Linked DNA regions of Solanum lycopersicum. The protein of the gene in region 2 binds, or shares a complex with, the protein of the main gene of each other region. Links are inferred from orthologs where the notes say so. Each region holds a gene or a part of one and is shown on either strand. Other genes may lie near its edges.

Evidence for each region.
Region 1: actin-related protein 2 (region 2) and actin-related protein 2/3 complex subunit 3 share a complex: the UniProt entries of both Arabidopsis thaliana proteins name them as parts of the arp2/3 complex. The link is inferred for Solanum lycopersicum from reciprocal best matches to the Arabidopsis thaliana genes ARP2 and ARPC3.

What each region holds. Positions count from the first base shown.
Region 1 is NC_090806.1:3,894,574-3,899,006, forward strand, and holds the start of actin-related protein 2/3 complex subunit 3, read left to right. Parts: upstream 1-1,315; 5' UTR 1,316-1,491; intron 1,492-2,327; 5' UTR 2,328-2,404; coding exon 2,405-2,407; intron 2,408-3,692; coding exon 3,693-3,801; intron 3,802-3,879; coding exon 3,880-4,149; intron 4,150-4,433. UniProt on the Arabidopsis thaliana protein: Functions as a component of the Arp2/3 complex which is involved in regulation of actin polymerization and together with an activating nucleation-promoting factor (NPF) mediates the formation of branched actin networks.
Region 2 is NC_090801.1:71,233,116-71,236,553, reverse strand, and holds part of actin-related protein 2, read right to left. Parts: intron 1,924-3,438; coding exon 1,874-1,923; intron 1,566-1,873; coding exon 1,462-1,565; intron 1,359-1,461; coding exon 1,290-1,358; intron 1,217-1,289; coding exon 1,153-1,216; intron 967-1,152; coding exon 898-966; intron 305-897; coding exon 221-304; intron 135-220; coding exon 76-134; intron 1-75. UniProt on the Arabidopsis thaliana protein: Functions as ATP-binding component of the Arp2/3 complex which is involved in regulation of actin polymerization and together with an activating nucleation-promoting factor (NPF) mediates the formation of branched actin networks.

The DNA.
Region 1 (4,433 bases), on a different chromosome or scaffold from region 2:
TACAATGTTTAGTCAATAAATGTCACAATCAAAATAGATTTATATCATTATATTTACGAATAGAATTTTAATTTAAATATACATAAAAACTTATTCCAGACAGCTGGTATATTTAACTTATTAATTTGAATTCAATTATATAACTTTGACGTTAACATTAGCACAGATTCCCTTTCCACACTCTCCCTTTGAAATATTGAATTTTACTAGAAAAAAAAGAATGTTAAATTTGTTAATATATCAATATTTCAATTCAAAATCAACTAAAGTAATTAGAAAAAAGCTAAGCCCCAAAATTATTGCAAGTTGAACTGATTGAAATTAGAGAATTTTGTGATGGATTATTCTTAAGATTAAGAGTTAGAACAATGAAGACCACAAATTTTAAAAAAAAAGAAAAAGTAGAGAAATAATTTTTTCAAAACAATGTCATTATCAAAAGTTTTCATAGAATAGCATTATTCCTAGAATTATTCCCCTTTTAGAAATTAGGTAGTCATCATTATTATTGGTGAATTATAAAGTAGGGTATTTCAATTAGTCTATTATTAAATCTAGACTCCTTAAAAATCATATATACTTTATGGAAAAGGCGCAAATATAACGTTAAGTTTGTGATTTGAAATGGATATATTTCTTGATTAAAAAAAAATTATACATATATATTTACGTTGTTTAACAATATGATACCTGTATATTCGTGACATAAAGTATAAGGAAAGAAAAAAATGCTAGGCAAGTTTGACAAAAAGTGATGGTTAAACCTACCGTATAGTATGAGATAGAGTGTCGATTAGTCAAGAACTTTCATGTTCAAAATATGAAAGCTACGGAGATGAAATGTTTGCGATGAATGTGTGGGAATAATAATAAGACATGATTAGAAACGAGGATATTCGGAGACAAGGTGCATGAGAGTGATTTTGATGAAGGACAAGATGTAGAAAGCAAGGCTAATGTATGTAAAGAGGAGCTGCACGAATGTCCCAATATGAAGGTGTGAGAGGTTGATAATGGGCGGCCTCGAAAAGGTAGAGATAGGTCGAAGAAGTATTTGGAGAGAGGTAATTAGATAGAACATGACACATTTTCGACTTAATAAGGATACGACTTTAGATATAAGGTTTTGAAAGGCACGTATTAGGCTAAAGAAGTTAGTAGGCAGTAGTGTGTGTCGTCTTGCTATACGTCCACACTAGTAGTCCTAGCATTACTCATATAGTTTCTCGTCCTTCAATTTCTTTTATCGCTCGTTATTTCTTATACCTCAATTATCGTACTATTTTACTAAACTTCAAATTGGTTAAGAAGAGGCCCATAAACATTGAGCCCAATAATAGTTGATCGTTAAGCCCATCTTCAACTACCATCACCGTTTATACCCGATTCTCTCTTCACTTCTTCTTTGATCTTCGCCGGAAAATATCACCCATCCCTGTCGATCTCAACATCTCTCGCCGGTGAAATTAACTATCTCTTCTCGGAAATCCAGTACGTAAAATTACGATCTGTTGCATATCTTTTCGTATCTACTCTTATTATCATATGTTTAACATATTGCGTTTTTGTTGTTGAAACTGTTGCCGTGATTGTTACTACTGTGATTATAATTGCTTTTTCCAAAATGCTTTAAACTGTTTAATTGATATCGTAATTCAGTTAATATAATTCGCTTGGGAATTAGGGGAAATAGCTAGGTCGGAGATCTTGCTTATAGAATTCGGATTGAAAAAAAACTTAAAATTGGAAATGAGATGCTATATTTGTGTTTTTATGGCGATATAGGGAACTTTTTGATGTGTAACTAAAGAGGGAAAAACTGGCATTATAGTTGATGTTATGGGAAATGTAAGATAACTTACATGATTTGCTAAACCATGTTTAATCAAGGGTGAGCTAGGAATTTGAGTGTATGGATTCTAGAAAACGGTGTTTACTAAGTTATTGATAACTTATTTATGCATATTAGGTGGATTCTTAAACGCAAATACAAGATTTGAGCCGAACCTACTGGTTTTGGTCGAAGCTGTAGCTCTGCCTGTGTTTAATGGATAATTCTATAGTAGCGCAAATTAAAAAGATACGAATAGAATGGTTGGGAATGAAAGTGCATAGATGATCTGGAAATAAAAAAGGAACAAGGGGAGAGAGGACGGAAGATGTTGGACTATATGGAAGATTACCTGAATATTACTTAGATGCATAGCTAGTTATCTGATGTAGATGAAGTAATCGTAAATTTTGATGCACGTCCTCTTATATTGGAGTCATGTTAGTTGTGTTCTAATTAATCTTAGTTATCTGATACTTGATGAGTGCATCTGCAGATTGGTGTTATAGCCTCTTTGGTTCGAAATTATACATTGCCTTCTGGTGCTAAGAAGCAAAATTTTCAGCAAGGAAAATGGTAAAGAAAGCATTTTTTTGCTTACATATTTCATTACTTTGGTGACAATTATCTCTCTGAGTTGATAGTGTGATAACTTCCACGCATGATGAAAACCATGCTGTTTCTTTTCCTTTGGTGATCGACTTGGCCCTTTTCCTGGTTTGGTGCACTAAATGAGCTACATGGCTTACATTTCATGTGTTCATTCCACTATTTTGAGTTACACTTTGGTTTCTTCAAAGAGGAATAAATAAATGACAAATGTTGTATTCTGTTTTTAAAACATCTTGGCAATGAGGATCTGTTATTGGCAATATGGGATGGATTGTGGTCTTTCTTTGATCTGTACTCACTTCAAGAAGTCTATATATAGTCTAATGGTGATAAACAAGACAGTAACTGATTTAGAGTAGGGGACTTAGATATGATTTGGATACATGCATGCAGTACGGTATCTTACACACTGATTAATGGAAATAACATGATAGAAATTCCAACCAAAACTGAAGAACAGAAAAGAAAGAACCAAAAATATAAAGATTTAGAAGTAAAAAGAATTACCACCAAGGTTCAAGCTTGAAAGAATTTTGAAATTCAGTCCGGACAAAGACTGTTTGAGCCTCAGAAAGATATCAATCTCAAAATTATATCAAAACCTCTCTAAAAACGAGTTTAACCTTATGTGCAGATTATATTACCTATGTTTGAGAAAAGAATAAATTACACTAACTGAAAAGCCTCCCAATTTGTAAGACCAGTGTGTCACACATGACCGATTCCTCAAGTTCAGCCCGCTGCACTGAGTCGTAATTTCCAGCCCGCTTAACTTTTGGTGTTTGTGTTTCGGTGCAAGGCGTCCAGCCTTAGCTCCTTCTGTCCACACCCAATGCCTTAGCCGTGTGCTGGACTTTACTTTCCAGCAAGTTTTTTTTTCAGCCACTTCCAAGCACTCCTTGAACTCTCAAACATGATATGCTTTGCTCGAATCTTCGCCATGCTCTCCAAGCATCTTCTGATTATCTCTTAGAGATCTGTAACTTCTTGATGTGTAATCCTTGGATGCTCTTGGTCTTGGAGCGCCTGATGGTCCTTATGATCGTTCAGGATCTCTTCCCTAATGTGCATCTGCTATCCGGGGTTGTTTGAGGACTCTATTTTTCTTGGCGATGAATTTTCTGTATTCAACTCTAATGAATTTGTCCTTTCTATTTTATTCACTCTATTATTTTTGTTTTATAGGGTGTTTAAACCCATAACAACTTGTCCCATTGAGTGCTGAAACCTGATTTTGATTCAATTGCAGGTTTATCATTCCAGTTTCGTTGATGAGGAAGGAATTAGTAAAGCTTGTGGATGTCCTTTGTTACCTCTGAAAAGCCATATAAGGGGACCTGCTCCAGTTTCAGAACAAGGTTAGTCTTACGAGTCTTTTCCTTATTAAGAGAATGTCTCCACATTATTATGGTGATGCTGATCTTATTTTTGAGCAGATACAACCGATATTGTTGATGAAGCAATCACATTCTTCCGAGCAAATGTCTTCTTCAAAAACTTTGATATTAAAAGCTCATCTGACAAGCTACTTATCTATTTGACATTGTATATCAATATAGCCTTAAAGAGGCTTGAAGGCTGCCGAACTTTAGCTGAAGGAACCAAGGCTATCATCAACCTAGGTCTGGAAAATGTTCCTGTACCTGGAGAGGCAGGTTTCCCATTCCCAAGCTTATTTTCTCCAGCCCAATCTAAAAAAGAAGCAGGTAAGTTGTTATTTGAACGAAGCAACCTTCTTTTTATATGTGAATAAACCACCAATAAATGATTTTGGTTAATTTTGAGTTTGCTGTTTGCTTTAATTTTTTTCCTTTGAGATTCTAAAATGAAAACAAACAAATTCACATCTCATAGTTATTCAGATGATGATATCCTAGTCTAATTGTGCCAATCTAATTCTTCTGGAATTTTCATGTACGCTACATTTGTATGGCTTGAAACCTTTTTGACATGTTACAACATTGCATTTGGTTCTAAGTGGAGAAAGATT
Region 2 (3,438 bases):
ACCACGCACAATTGCACTACTCAGCTCCAAGTTCTCAAAGCTTTATAATAAGGAAGAGTATTTTGAGTAAGTTACCGACTAGGTAAGCCAGGATACATGGTACTTCCACCACTCAAAACAATATGCTGGTAGAGCTGCAAGTGAAAATTTAAACATATGATGGATGGCAAATGACAACACTATGGCAAAGAATACAGAAGAAATTTCAAAGTTGAAGTACCATCATCCTGTTGTCAATATCCATCTCCTGAATGCAGCGAAATACCATGTCAGCCATGCCATCACCTTCAACATCAATAAGATCCTGAAATGGACAGAAAAAGTGACACTTAGCTTCCTTCCACATACAGCAACCCATCAATAAATATATTGCAGAAGCGTGAAATAATATTTAAAATTCCTTGCACATACATCAACCCTTCAATTAGAATTTTGGAGAAACGTGGAATAATATTTCAATTTAGCTTTCTTTCACATACATCAACCCATAAAGTAGAAGTTTGGAGAAGCATATAATAGCATTTCAAACAATGCAGTTCAAAGTTCAAACAATGTGTTCTTGCTTCAATTTTTTCACAAGGACTTAATTGACACTTCATCTGAAACAAATTGGTTCAAAGATAACACTCTATTGCTTTGCTATTGAATAGTTGAGAGGTAAAAGAACTACCAAATTTAAAAAGCTGTACGACAAAAGATGGTCATGGTATTAGATAACAAGTGTCACATTGACATTTGGTGTTACATGGGATTTGCAGGATTAGATTGCTTTATGGGAATACATCAATTGCCTTTCATCTTTACCACTACGAGGAAAGCAAATCTGGTGCATTTTTATGTAAAAGGTATGTTCTTGATTTGTGAAAGAGGAAAATAAAAATGGGAATGCATGCTCACTGGAGTAAAAAGAGCCTCAGGTGCCTGGAACCTCTCTGTGCCAACTTTAAGTACCCTCCCATCTGGAAGCTGTTGAAAAACAAGTGAAATAATGAGTTACAGATGACCAAGTTTCTTATGGGAGAAAAAAGGATCTTTGCTTCCAAGAGCAAAGTACCATACCTAATTGCAGTTCAAGGTAGTAGAAAAGCTTAAAGAATAGTAGTGCCTTTGTTTTTTCCAATTAAAAGCTTATTATGGATGGAGCCTACTCACAGTATAATTCTTAACAAGAATTGTCGTTTCAAGCCCCAACTGATACTCTCTCTTGTAATCATAACTGCAGTAAAGAAAATATCATTACTCGCCAGAAGAATTAGTAAAGGGATTAATTTACAACGCAAGTAATTCACCTAATGTAGCAGAGCTTTTCTTTAATATCCCTGACAGTCTCAAAATCGGCACTTCTATTCATTGCATACCTTCAGATATGACTGACCATCAAAACTCCAGTAATGGTTTAAAATAATCAAATTAGCATGAATGACCCTATTTAGTTTATTTCAAACATATGTTGGCAATTACCCTCTCCGAAGTAGCAGATCAACCATATAAGACGTTATATGCCGTCCAGCTACATTCATTCTTTTCGTGAGGTGAGGAAATGAGTATCCATCTACAACAGGAACCTGCACCAACATATTTCTGAATAACATACAGAAGAAAAAATATCCCCACGGTTCATAGCAAGTATTACCATGTGCCACCAAAAGAACAGAGAGCTGAAAAAACACTGCCTTTATGACCAGCTTGAAGGAGCAATCTTATTAGACAGGGAGCCCAATGGACTATGCAGGAAAAAAGTTCTAGTTTTGGGAGTAGCAACTCCTAGTTTGATTACCTCAAACTTTATGAGAATTAACCTTCTCTTTTGAATCAATGTTGAACCGAGACAAACTATAGATCATGAAACAGCTATGCTTATGGAAAAACTTACAACATGTGTAACTCCATCACCTGAGTCGATGACAAGCCCAGTCAACAAACCTGCATATTGGAACATAAAAAATGAGCAAATCCATCATCAGATAGGGCCCAAGTAGAAGCAAAATATGACTTAGCCCCACCCTTGTAACAAATACCCGCTACAAAATTGCAATATCAAGACTTATGATGGTCCTTCTCGCAACAACAACATACCCAGTGTAATCCTCCCACCAAGTGGGGTTTGAGGGTAGAGTGTACGCAAACCTTACCCATAGATTTAGAGAGGTTGTTCCCGTTAGACCCTCAGCTTAAATAAGCATGCCAAACAGTTTGAAAAAAGGGGATACAAATATGAGAGCAATAACTACAATGAAATAATGCGAAACGGAGAGCATTACACAACAAAGTGCAGAAAGAACAGTAACGATGATGAAGTAATGCAATATTCTGAGCACAAACTAAATCCAAGAACAAGAAACTACGAGAATAGTGCTAATATTACTGGTAAGAAGGAAGGTCCAAGTATTACCACCAACCGTATCTATTGAGAATAATAGTAGTTAGCATAAAATTATTTAATTTGCACATTAGTTAGTTAGTTAAACATTTTACATTCCATTAGTTAGTTAAGTAGTTAGTTAGTGGAGAGAGAGTTAACAGCTGGCTTAACAGCCATGATAGCTGGCTAACACACTTGTATATATGTATGGATTCATTCTCATTTTACAGTTTAACAGAATATAGAGAAAATTTTCCCAATTAATTCTCTCACTAAAATTTTCATGTATCAGAGCTGTGAATCCACAAGATTCAGATTCACAATCAATTCAATTTGAAGACTTCGAAGCATCCATTGAGTGAGTTCAAAGAAGATGATATTGACATCAGAGGATAGTGCAGCAGCTACAGTTTCAGGAGTTTCAGCTGATACTCTTGATGGAATTGAGAAAAATCGAAATCATCCACTATATCTTCATCCCTCTGAAACTCCTGGGAGTGTATTGACATCAGTACAACTCACAGGGGCTGAAAATTACTCATTGTGGAGCAGATCGTTAATGATTAACCTTCGTGCTAAGAGCAAGCTGGGATTCGTACTTGGAACTTGTCGCAAATCTGATCACAAACCTGAATTGGAGGAGCAATGGGAGAAATGCAACGCATTCGCGTTAGTATGGATCATGAACACGGTGCCTAAAGAGTTATTGTGTGGAATCGTATATGCATCAGATGCAACAATGGTTTGGGAAGATTTGAATGAGCCCTTCAACAAGGTTGATGGATCTAGAAGCTATCAGCTTCATCGTGAAATTAGTACAATTAGTCAAGGTAATTTGACAGTTTCTGGGTACTTTACTAAATTGCTACTTCTATGCAATGAGTTTGACGCACTTGTTCCGCCTACTGCTTGTAACTGTGATAAGTCCAAAGTGTATGTTGATCATCTGCAATTTCTGCGATAATTTGTTTCTTTGATGGGTTTGAATTAGGTGTACAGTCATGCGAGGAGTCAGATTTTAATGATGAATCCATTACCTAGTGTGAGTCGAACTTATGCTATGATAACATCTGATG